Linked DNA regions of Arabidopsis thaliana. The protein of the gene in region 3 interacts with the protein of the main gene of each other region in a pairwise test. Each region holds a gene or a part of one and is shown on either strand. Other genes may lie near its edges.

What was found.
Region 1: the proteins of AT1G10530 (region 3) and AT3G26340 interact in a two-hybrid assay, tested with the Arabidopsis thaliana proteins (one large-scale study listed by BioGRID).
Region 2: the proteins of AT1G10530 (region 3) and ATB' DELTA interact in a two-hybrid assay, tested with the Arabidopsis thaliana proteins (one large-scale study listed by BioGRID).

The regions. Positions count from the first base shown.
Region 1 is NC_003074.8:9,651,196-9,654,950, reverse strand, and holds the start of AT3G26340 (N-terminal nucleophile aminohydrolases (Ntn hydrolases) superfamily protein), read left to right. Parts: upstream 1-2,014; 5' UTR 2,015-2,151; intron 2,152-2,368; 5' UTR 2,369-2,378; coding exon 2,379-2,498; intron 2,499-2,603; coding exon 2,604-2,733; intron 2,734-2,939; coding exon 2,940-3,046; intron 3,047-3,557; coding exon 3,558-3,692; intron 3,693-3,755. Other genes in the region: AT3G26350 (proline-rich receptor-like kinase), read left to right, coding at 221-1,291. UniProt on the Arabidopsis thaliana protein: The proteasome is a multicatalytic proteinase complex which is characterized by its ability to cleave peptides with Arg, Phe, Tyr, Leu, and Glu adjacent to the leaving group at neutral or slightly basic pH.
Region 2 is NC_003074.8:9,514,845-9,518,599, forward strand, and holds the start of ATB' DELTA (serine/threonine protein phosphatase 2A 55 kDa regulatory subunit B prime delta), read left to right. Parts: upstream 1-2,108; 5' UTR 2,109-2,896; coding exon 2,897-3,755. Other genes in the region: AT3G26020 (Protein phosphatase 2A regulatory B subunit family protein), read left to right, coding at 1-454, 542-745, 878-910, 1,122-1,232, 1,436-1,741. UniProt on the Arabidopsis thaliana protein: The B regulatory subunit may modulate substrate selectivity and catalytic activity, and may also direct the localization of the catalytic enzyme to a particular subcellular compartment.
Region 3 is NC_003070.9:3,470,844-3,474,478, forward strand, and holds AT1G10530 (D-ribose-binding periplasmic protein), read right to left. Parts: upstream 1,832-3,635; 5' UTR 1,684-1,831; coding exon 1,392-1,683; exon of another isoform or gene 1,305-1,391; coding exon 1,204-1,304; intron 1,070-1,203; coding exon 962-1,069; 3' UTR 613-961; downstream 1-612. Other genes in the region: PRIN2 (Serine/Threonine-kinase), read left to right, coding at 260-448.

The DNA.
Region 1 (3,755 bases), on a different chromosome or scaffold from region 3:
ATCTACAACAAAGATTACTTGCTTCGTGCTATCACTTTCCTTCTTTATTTTGTTTTCTACAACAAAGAATCCTTACTTGAACTTGTCACCAAGTTATTCTCTCCCTCTCTCTATCTCATTTAGAAACTTAAAACAGTTCAAAATCTCTCTGTTCTCATTCTTTCATCTCAAGTCTTACTTAACTTAGTTTCCTTTGATGCTTTTTAGCTTCTTCATCTAAATGTCTCATCATCATCACCATGAAACTAACCCTCATTTTGCGCGAATTCCATCGCAGAATCCACATCTCAAAAGCGGTGGTGCTTCTACCTCACAAACATCTTCGAACCAACCACACATCCCGCCCATTCCGCACCCAAAAAAATCGCACCACAAAACCACGCAACCTCACCCAGTAGCTCCACCAGGAATCCTAATCAAGACTCGTGGTCGCCACCGTGAAAATCCAATCCAAGAACCGAAACATTCTGTAATACCTGTACCATTAAGCCCAGAGGAGAGACTTCCACCACGAAAAACTCAAAACTCATCGAAAAGACCATTGCTATTAAGCCCTGAAGATAATCAACAACAACGACCTCCACCACCACAAGCACCACAACGCAACGGAGGGGGTTATGGATCAACATTACCTCCAATACCCAAACCAAGTCCATGGAGAACCGCTCCAACACCATCCCCGCATCACCGCCGTGGCCCACGGTTACCACCACCCTCAAGAGAGACAAACGCAATGACATGGTCAGCTGCATTTTGCTGTGCAATATTCTGGGTCATTCTTATTCTCGGCGGTCTTATCATCCTAATCGTTTACCTCGTCTACCGTCCTCGCTCACCTTACGTCGACATCTCAGCTGCTAACCTAAACGCTGCTTATCTCGACATGGGTTTTCTTCTAAACGGTGATCTAACCATTTTAGCAAACGTCACAAACCCAAGCAAGAAAAGTAGTGTGGAGTTTAGCTATGTGACATTCGAGCTTTACTATTACAACACACTCATAGCAACTCAATACATTGAACCTTTCAAGGTTCCTAAGAAAACGTCAATGTTTGCGAATGTTCATCTTGTGAGCAGTCAGGTCCAGCTTCAGGCAACGCAGAGCCGGGAGCTGCAGCGTCAGATTGAAACAGGTCCGGTTTTGTTGAACCTGAGAGGAATGTTTCATGCACGTTCGCATATAGGACCATTGTTTAGGTACTCTTATAAGTTGCATACTCATTGCAGCGTTTCATTGAATGGTCCTCCTTTAGGAGCTATGCGAGCTAGAAGATGCAATACCAAACGCTAGCGATTTTGCAATTGCGTTTGCTCATTTTTTTTCTTTTACCTTTTTTTGCCACTGTTAGAAATAATTAATCTTCTGTATTTATTGGTATTACAAGTCTACAAGAATCGTTAATTGTTTAATCATTTTTTAATTGCGTCGTTAGTTTTTGTAAACTAGAATGTTCCAAACTTAAGAGGCTGTTTTAAGACTTTTAACTTTATAAATTTCACACGGAAAGAGAAGAATACTATCTAATATTTAAGTTTAAGGAGGTGTTTATTAATTTTGAATGCACATAGGATTTGGAATGCCTTGTTGATTTTAAAACCAAACATTAACATTAAATTTTTTAACTTTTAGATATGAACCAAAAATCTTGATATGGTGCTATATGAGGCAATTTCTCTTGTATGTTTAACCATAAACATTTTAAAATCTGTTAAAGTCCAATGTAAAATCCATAAAAATTTGATTAAAATAACACTTTATTCCAACTAATAAAATAAAATAATAAACGAATAATACCTGATAAATTTGATCCAAATATTTTGACTTGTCTTACTAAATTTATTTGAATAACAAATGATTAATAAAAAGTTATATACCTAATATTCATATAACCAAGGAAATTAAAAAAAAAAAAAAAGAAGAAAAGGCCAATAATGGCCCATGAAGCCCAACATAATGAACACTGTTCTGTCTTTAAACTTAAGCGGTATGACCCGAAATGATTCAACCCGACCCGATCGCCCATATCTTGCCCCGTTCGCATTCGGTTTGCCCAGAGCTCAAGAAACATCCCTCCATAATTTGCTTCTCTTTTCTCCAATTCTCACACATTCTTCTGCTTCGTTAATTTTCTACTCGATTTCGCTCTTCAGGTATGTCTCAGGCCCCTAATTGTCGTTACTTTGACTTTACAATGAAGTATTAGGGTTTATGGTTTATACACACACGTACAAAAGTAATCTCGTGCTAGATCCGATTTGAATTGTGAAAGGAAGCTCTTTTTGTTAATACCCTGATTTGGGTACCTCTCAAGCTTCATGATTTTGCATAATTTTATTGAATAATTGTGGGTATTCGATGATTCTGTAGAAATTTGACAATGAAGCTTGACACTAGTGGATTGGAGACAACTATGCCTGTGATTGGCTTTGGATCAAACAGTGAGATGCTTGATGGGTTTTCGTCTGCACCTTCGTTTGATCTTCCTCGTACCACTGATGTGAGTTTTAGTTACGAAATTAGAGTTCTTTCGGATTCCAATATACTTTGATTTTGCTTTTATTTGATTGTGATATGTTGCTTTTGTTTGTTGTTGGTTTTTTAGTTTGATGGGTTTCAGAAAAAAGCTGTGGAGATGGTGAAGCCTGCAAAGGGTACAACTACACTTGCGTTTATCTTTAAGGAAGGTGTTATGGTAGCTGCTGATTCTCGAGCTAGCATGGGAGGATATATCTGTATGTTTCTCTTTTGTTATGTTTATTTCAGATTTCTGTTTGTGTTTTAGTTGTGAGCTCTCTAAAGGATCCTAAAAATGGAGAATGAGTTAGATTCTTGTTATAGAAATTTCTAATCTTTGTTGTGTTGGCCAGTGATACTGTACAGTAAAAGAAAGGAGAAATTTCTGTGATTGCTGATGTTTTGTTTGTGTTTTTCCATTCAGCGTCGCAATCTGTGAAGAAGATTATTGAAATTAATCCTTATATGCTTGGTACAATGGCTGGTGGTGCTGCTGATTGTCAATTCTGGCACAGAAATCTGGGAATTAAGGTACCCTAACGTTAGTTTTTGTTAGCTTTCTGAATTGATGATTGGGTCTATCAGTTATCTTCCTTGCTGTGGCAATCCGGTTACTTCTTACCTTCCCTTTGTTCATAACTTCATATAGCTAATGTATTGATATCCGAAAGCTGTTGAGTCATTTGTTAGAGACTTAAAAACGTTTTGTATCCGTCTGTTTCCTGGAATAAGAATAGTCTTTATTATCTGTTTGGTGACCTAAGAACGTGTGTCTCTTTCAATTTTAGTAATGTATTTTTCTGCGTGGTGTGGTGGCTTTAGCTTCTCAGTACTGTGAACTAAACATTTATATATCATTATGCATCAATCTTTTTGTTTTGAGTTGTTGTATTCAAGGGCATACAAATGGTTTCGTTGATTTCTTGTATCCAAAATCTAGTCCCAGTTTTATCCTAATAGTTTGATTGCTAACTTGTATACCAAATCTGGATTATGTTGAAACTATGACCCTGATAGAGAGTGTTTTATTTGTGTATCATAGTGCCGTCTACATGAGCTGGCAAACAAAAGGAGAATCTCTGTTTCAGGAGCTTCAAAGCTTCTTGCTAACATGCTCTATTCATATCGTGGAATGGGACTTTCTGTTGGCACAATGATTGCTGGATGGGATGAAACAGTCAGTACCCTAAACTTTATATCCTAACTGTTATTTCCTTCTCGGTCTGTAGTTTCACTCACC
Region 2 (3,755 bases), on a different chromosome or scaffold from region 3:
CGTTCGGATGGTCTCTGCTAACATATTTAGAACGCTAAATCCTCAACCACGGGAAAATAAAGTTATCGATGCCTTAGACCTGGAGGAGGAAGAACCTTCCATGGATCTTGCGTGGCCTCACTTGCAGCTTGTGTATGAGCTTTTCTTGAGGTTTGTTGCTTCGCCTGAAACTGACACCAAGCTGGCTAAGAGATATATAGATCAATCTTTTGTCTTGCGGTTACTGGATTTATTTGATTCCGAGGATCCTAGAGAAAGAGATTGTCTGAAAACCATTCTCCATCGGATCTATGGTAAATTTATGGTACACCGACCTTTCATCAGGAAATCCATTAACAACATCTTCTATAGGTTTGTTTTCGAAACAGAGAAACATAATGGGATTGCTGAGTTTCTAGAAATCTTGGGAAGTATCATCAATGGATTCGCTCTTCCCTTGAAAGACGAGCACAAAGTGTTTCTTGTTCGAGTTTTGATACCTCTCCACAAACCAAAATGCTTGCAAATGTATCATCAACAATTGTCTTATTGTATCACACAGTTTGTGGAAAAGGATTGCAAACTTGCTGATACGGTTATAAGAGGATTGTTGAAATATTGGCCCGTGACAAACAGTTCCAAAGAAGTCATGTTTCTGAACGAGTTGGAGGAAGTACTCGAAGCAACTCAGCCACCAGAATTTCAACGGTGCATGGTACCACTGTTTCGCCAAATAGCTCGATGTTTGAACAGTCTGCATTTTCAGGTACCTGTCATTCTCCATTCTTTCTGAAATAATAGCACCTCACATTTGTTTTTAAACTGGCGAATTTCCCCGTGCTTTGACATTTCCTGAAAAATGCTCTGTTGCTGTTAGTGTTGGGTTTGACATTTGCAGGCCATATCGTTTCGACATACTTTAACTGCATTAGTGTTTCACCTGTTTATGTTAGCCTATTAGATTGTTATATAAAAAGATCAAATGAAAGAGTTGGGTTTGTGGTAATGAAAGTATCTACGTATAGGACTGTTGTATTGTGTTCTGGATAATATCTGATGCAGTTTCTTAGCTAAATAAGGCTTATGGTTACATACTTTAATTGTGTTAGTGTTTCGCCAGTATATCTGTGTTACCTTACCAGCTTATGAGAAGTCGTTATAGCCTACCAGTTATATCAAACGAGCAAATGGAAGAGTTGATTTTGCGGTATGGAAAGTATCAATGTTTAGGACTGTTATATTCAGCTCTAGGTGTTACTCAAGGCAATTTCTAAGCTAAATTGATATAGTAAGGCTATTGTTAAGTAGAAAGTTACAAAAGAAGAAAAAGTATTGCGTTGAAGGGTATCTGTTTTGGCTAAACAGTGACTGCATACGATCTTTCACGGGAAAAGATCAGTCTAGTAGGTTCAGGATCTTTGTTTCAGTCTATTCATGCTCTGTCTGGTTTTCGCAGGTTGCAGAGAGAGCTTTATTCTTATGGAACAACAATCACATTGAGAATCTGATAATGCAAAACCGTAAAGTCATTCTTCCAATTATATTCCCAGCGTTGGAGAGAAACGCACAGAAACATTGGAACCAAGCTGTTCATAGCTTGACACTAAACGTGCGAAAGATATTTCATGACCTTGACCCTGAGTTATTTAAAGAATGCCTCGCAAAGTTCAAGGAAGATGAATCAAAAGCAGCTGAAACCGAAGCAAAACGTGAAGCCACTTGGAAACGTTTGGAAGAACTCGGAGTGCGAAAGGCTTCATAAAGTTAGAGTTGTAGAGAAGAAAGAGAGAGAAAGAGAGCTTCTGTATCTTCTATTGACATGTTGTTCTTCAGATACATACTTGAGAAGAGAAAAGTTTCATATTGGTCTCTTGGTTTGAAGGAAAAAGGAAACTCAAAGATGTAAGATTGTTCCTGTTTTGATTTCCATTATTTTTATTTCTTGTTTCCTCTTAAATCTTCCTGCTTGTTAAAATGGGTTATTTTTGCTACATTGTATGATCATCACTTGTTCCACTTTCTTGAGACTTGTCTTATTCATTCATCTTCTGCTTTCATGATACCTGCAAATATTGCACTTATAGGATTTGGCCTTTTGTATTTTCAGTTGTATCAGAAAAAAAATCGTATCTTTATAAGCAAAAAAACACCTTTTAAAAAAAGTTTTTTTAAGTTTTCAACAGAAACTCAAAGAGAGAAGACCAAATTGTTGGTTTGAGTATTTTGGGTTTGTGGATTTGGTTACGAACTCCATAAGTCTAGGAGGAACTCTGAAAAGATCTTCATGGAGAGATCGGTTTAGTGGTTGGATTTGAATCTTTTAATGGTTATGACTTCAACTAAAAAAACACTGTCGAGAGATGTTGTTTCTTGTCTTGGTCAGTGAAAATTTTCTCTGGTCTTAGGGTCTTCTCTCAGTCACCATCCTCTCTTTCTATCTCTCTCTCTCTTTACTCTCTAATCTTTATCCATTCTCTCTCTTCTTCTCTATGCCAACGAAGCAATAGCTATGAAAAGCTAAACCCTTTCCTTCTTCTTCTTCTTCTTCTTCTTCTTCGATTGTTTAGATTACTTGGGTTTGACCCAAGTTTGCTTCTTTCTATGATTCATCAATCTAGATCTTGCTATCTGGGTCCAGAAACGATTCACGCGCTTCATTCATGATATAAAGTTACTACCTTTTTTTTATTTTACCTTCTGGGTCATGGTTTTGTCTGCTTTTCGTCTTTTGCTTTTGTCTGGATGATTCATAATCTCTCGAGATCTATTATGTTCACAAGAGTTGTTCTTATGCGTGGTGAGATGATCTTAGGAGTGTTTCACTATCTTTCTTCAATTCGGGTTTTTAGTTTCTGAGATCTGTTTTTGAAGAATCTGATCTGAGTTTGAGGAAGTTTGACTAAATAGATCGAAGAAGATGTTTAAGCAGATACTTGGGAAGCTTCCTAAGAAAACTTCTGCTAAGTTTTGGGATAATGGTGAATCCCAAACTCTAGATAACAACAACAATCAAGGAGGAGGTGATGAAGTTTTAAGCCAGAGAACGTCATCAAATGGAGATACTAGTTTGGATTGTGTTTCTTCTTTTGATGTATTGCCAAGGTTGAGAGATGTTTCCATCTCTGAGAAGCAAGAACTGTTTCTTAAGAAGCTTAGACTATGTTGTCTAGTGTTTGATTTTGTAGCTGAGCCTCAACAGAACTTCAAGGAGAAAGAGATCAAAAGGCAAACACTTCTTGAAGTTGTGGATTATGTTATCTCTTCAGGGAATGGCAAGTTCCCTGAATCAGTTATTCAAGAAGCTACCAAGATGATTTCGGCGAATCTCTTTAGTAATCCTCATCGACAATGGAAGAACAAAACTCCTGAGGCATTGGATTTGGAAGAAGAAGAAGGATCTTTGAATCCTTCTTGGCCTCACTTGCAGATTGTTTATGAGTTCCTTTTGAGAATCGTTGCATCTCCCAACACAGACCCCAAGATATCCAAGAAATACATCGATCATACATTCGTTCTCAAGCTATTGGATTTGTTTGATTCTGAAGATCCGAGGGAAAGAGAGTATCTGAAAACGATACTTCACCGCATCTACGGGAGGTTTATGGTTCATCGCCCGTTCATCAGGAAAACTATGAACAACATCTTGTATGATTTTATATTCGAGACAGGGAAACACTCGGGAATCGCCGAGTTTCTTGAAGTTTTAGGATCCATCATCAATGGATTCGCTTTACCACTCAAGGAAGAACACAAGCTCTTTCTTACTCGTGTCTTGA
Region 3 (3,635 bases):
GGAGTGGTTTTCAATTTGAACCCATCTTGAAAGCTCAGTGAAAAAAAGTTTGTATTGTTTGAAAATGAGATGCTGTGGTCTTAGTAATGATGCCTTGGTGAGGATATTAATCTACGTATGGTTTACAATGAGTCGACTGTAAGTTTTTGTTTCATGAGTGATACTTTAAACCCCATTCTCTAAGTCTGTTATATGTCTTGGCATGAGACTCAGGGAGTTTTAACAGTTTTTTGTTCTGCACCATTGTGATTATTGACAGATCTTCGAGACGTTCTTGCGCAGTGAGTATGGAGGACCTGGTACACTCTTGGTGATACCTTTCATTGACATGGCAGATACTCTCAACGAAAGGGAATTGCCTGGAGGTCCACAAGCCGCCCGAGCAGCTATTAAATGGGCTCAGGATCATGTAGACAAGGACTGGAAGGAATGGACCGGCACTGATTAGTCCCCTGGGAGCATTAAGTATAATCCGTGAGTTATTTAGTTTAGTAGTGGGGTAGCAGATGTGTCATTGTAAAACTCTGATTACTATGTCGTGAAGCACTTAATCTTTGATCAAAAACTGTTTGGTGTAAACTTGTCCAAACGACTGGAAACAAGAAAAAGAAAAGATGGCAAAAGCTTTTTATTGTTCTTATTCAGAAGCTTTGTGTCCTCTGAATCAATCTCACACATCAACAAAAACCACACTTCTTACAAACTTCCATCGATTTCCCCATCTGCAAAAATATATACATCGACGATAGAGGGAAAAAAAAGGAAGAAGAAGTTCTGTTTTGTTGACTCTCTTGAGCTTTCTCTGTACTTATCTCTTCACATCTTCATCTAGACTCCATCCGTTTATCCTCTGTAATATCCAGGAAAAAAAAAAACAGAACCAAAAAATTATTCAGTAGAGTTTCGGATCAGGCTCTCCACTCTAGATCCAGATACTGTTTCGAACAAAAACCAAAAACATTCAGCTAGTAGCTTCGGAGATGCTCTGAAGAGACGGCCTCCATGTTTTAGACTTTAAGAGGGAAGTTGAATTCCTTATAACACGAAATTGCTTCCCTTGTTTCTTCTCCTATCAAATAAAACACAAACCTCATTAACTTGATTCGTCTATCGATCATTTAGACGAAAGAGGTCACAGTTTTTTACGTCACAATTCAAAAACAGAGTAAAGATAGATCTTTTAGCAAAATCCCATGTCTTTACCGGAACTTTCTTGTCCGAGAACTTCTTCGCCGTGGTTGTCTTCTCAATCTGATGTTTTTTCGTCTTGGCGCTCTTCTTTTCCCGTAACACCTTCATCACTTCTGTAAAATTACAATAACCATCTAAAACCATAAACTCCAATCACACACACGAGGAGAAAAAAAAAGAAAGAAAGCAAAAGGCGAAACCTTGTGAAGTAATGAGCCGGTAAGCGTGACCGAGCACAAGATTCTCCGTTGGCCGGAGAAGCTGGACACGTGTAAACCTCACAGCCTTCCTCTGCTTCTTATCATCTCCCTTCTCCGTCGCTGGAATATTCTTCTCTTCCTCCTCTGACAAAGGAATGATGAGAGAGACGTAGTGACCAGGATACATAGCCATGACCTCGGTGACGGATACAGAGCTATAGTACCGGTCGATAATCCCGCCGGGATGTTGTAGAACCAGCACTGCCGCATTCACCGCCTGACAATTCCCCATATATGCAGTGGGAGAAAAAAACACACTATCTTTTGATGTTACCTAAGAAACGAAAGAAAGAAGAAAAAATGAAAACAGAGTAGAACTCTGTGAAAAAAGGAGAAAGCGGAAGAGAGGAAAAAGTTTGCCGGCGAGGGTAGGTCCACACACTCTGCTACTCTCACTTTAGCTTTACTTATAAACATGCGAAAATCCCAATTTTATATTATGATTTTATTTGTTATCACTAGTGTAGAGTTATTTATGATTTTTATTATTGTTTATGTAGATTTGACTGTGATCAGTGCCATCGGGAATTGAATAGGAATAAGATGGTCAGAATTTAAAAGTCGGTTAGATTGGACAGGTGGCGACGCCGAGACTATGGAAGAAATGATTAAGATGTGATTGTTTAAAATGGAATAGGTTTGGTATACAGCATGAGGAAAACAAGCACTATCACATACCAAACATTTTGAAATTGCTATCAGTGATTTACTTTGTTTTATATTTTACTATTTGGTAAGTTTGAGTTACTTTAGATATTCTAATCTTTTTTGAATTAATTGAAATTAAGCTGAATGATTTTTATGGTTCAGAATGATTTGTAAGATTTTGTAATTCTTAGTTTTTTGTTTACAAGAGATTATTTTTGTCAACGGGCAAAACAGAACGTTATACTTCAACATTAAACGTAAATAACGTAATGAAGACTTTTGTTTTCTCTTTTGCAAGATCCAATGCATTTCCACTAAGGATTGTTTGTTTTATATATCATCTACCTAAATTGATGTATAATCCACTTCATCCCTAAAAAGAAAACAGAATATATTTACATCAAATGTTTACTTTCCTTTCAGTTTCTCTTGTATATTTTCGCATATCTATGACTTGATTAATGAATATTATAACCCCCACTTCATCCATAATTCAGTTTCTATTGAAATCTTTGTATGACATCAAATGTTTACTTCCCTTTCAAGGAATTAGGAATATTTCATAGCAGCACTTTAATCATTATCATCAGCGCGTGCATGGAGTTAAATGCGAATGTCTTTAGGCGTGACAGAAGTGAAGCTCAACGAATTATTATGTAGTAGATGTAGTTAGATTAACCAAGTGTAATTTAGTTTTGCTGGTTAATGTTATATATCTTCCAAAGAGGTTATATTACATAACTTACATAATTAGTTAATTACTACATTCCATGAATCACGATTTAAACTTTGTTTTAAAAGGATTTTGGTCTAGAAATCAAAATAATAGAGAGAAACTTCAAATTGTTTATTTGGTTTACTCGCAGCGACTAGTTTCACTTTTCAGGTTGATGTAAATGGATAATTTTATTATTTCGTTGATATCTTATTCATTATTAAAATTTCGTGTTTTATTAGTTATTACTTGTGCATAGCCTATTTTAAGTACTATAATGTTGGGTTAATACTATAGAGAGTAGAGACCGAAACAGTTTATGCGGCAACCAACACGTAAGAAATCAAGATTTTAAGATTGTAAATTATGCATGTCCTTTCGTTTTCTGTTAGAGCCAAATATATAGATCGTCAGTTTTTTGATAATGATAAACAACATCGTAAGTTTAAATAGTACCTTTTCGTTAAACACAAACAAAACATAAGTAGTACAGTAACTAACCATTAATATTTCATCAATGAATATATCTAACAATTTCGAATCCCAATTATTATTTACTACTGAACTGTGATCACATGCATGAACATGAATCCCAATTTCGAGTCTGAGTGTACTTTGATGCAAATTTTCATGAGAAAAGATTTCACTGAAAAATTGAATTATTAATATATAATTTTTTTGTTACTTTTTTTGTTACTGGATTTCAAAAATTAGAGAACACAACTAGGCCCAAATCCAACAAAAGCCCAATAATTAATTAAAATGGAAGTCGCAGGTCCCACATCGACTTGAGAAGAAAAGATGACATGACAACAGATGAA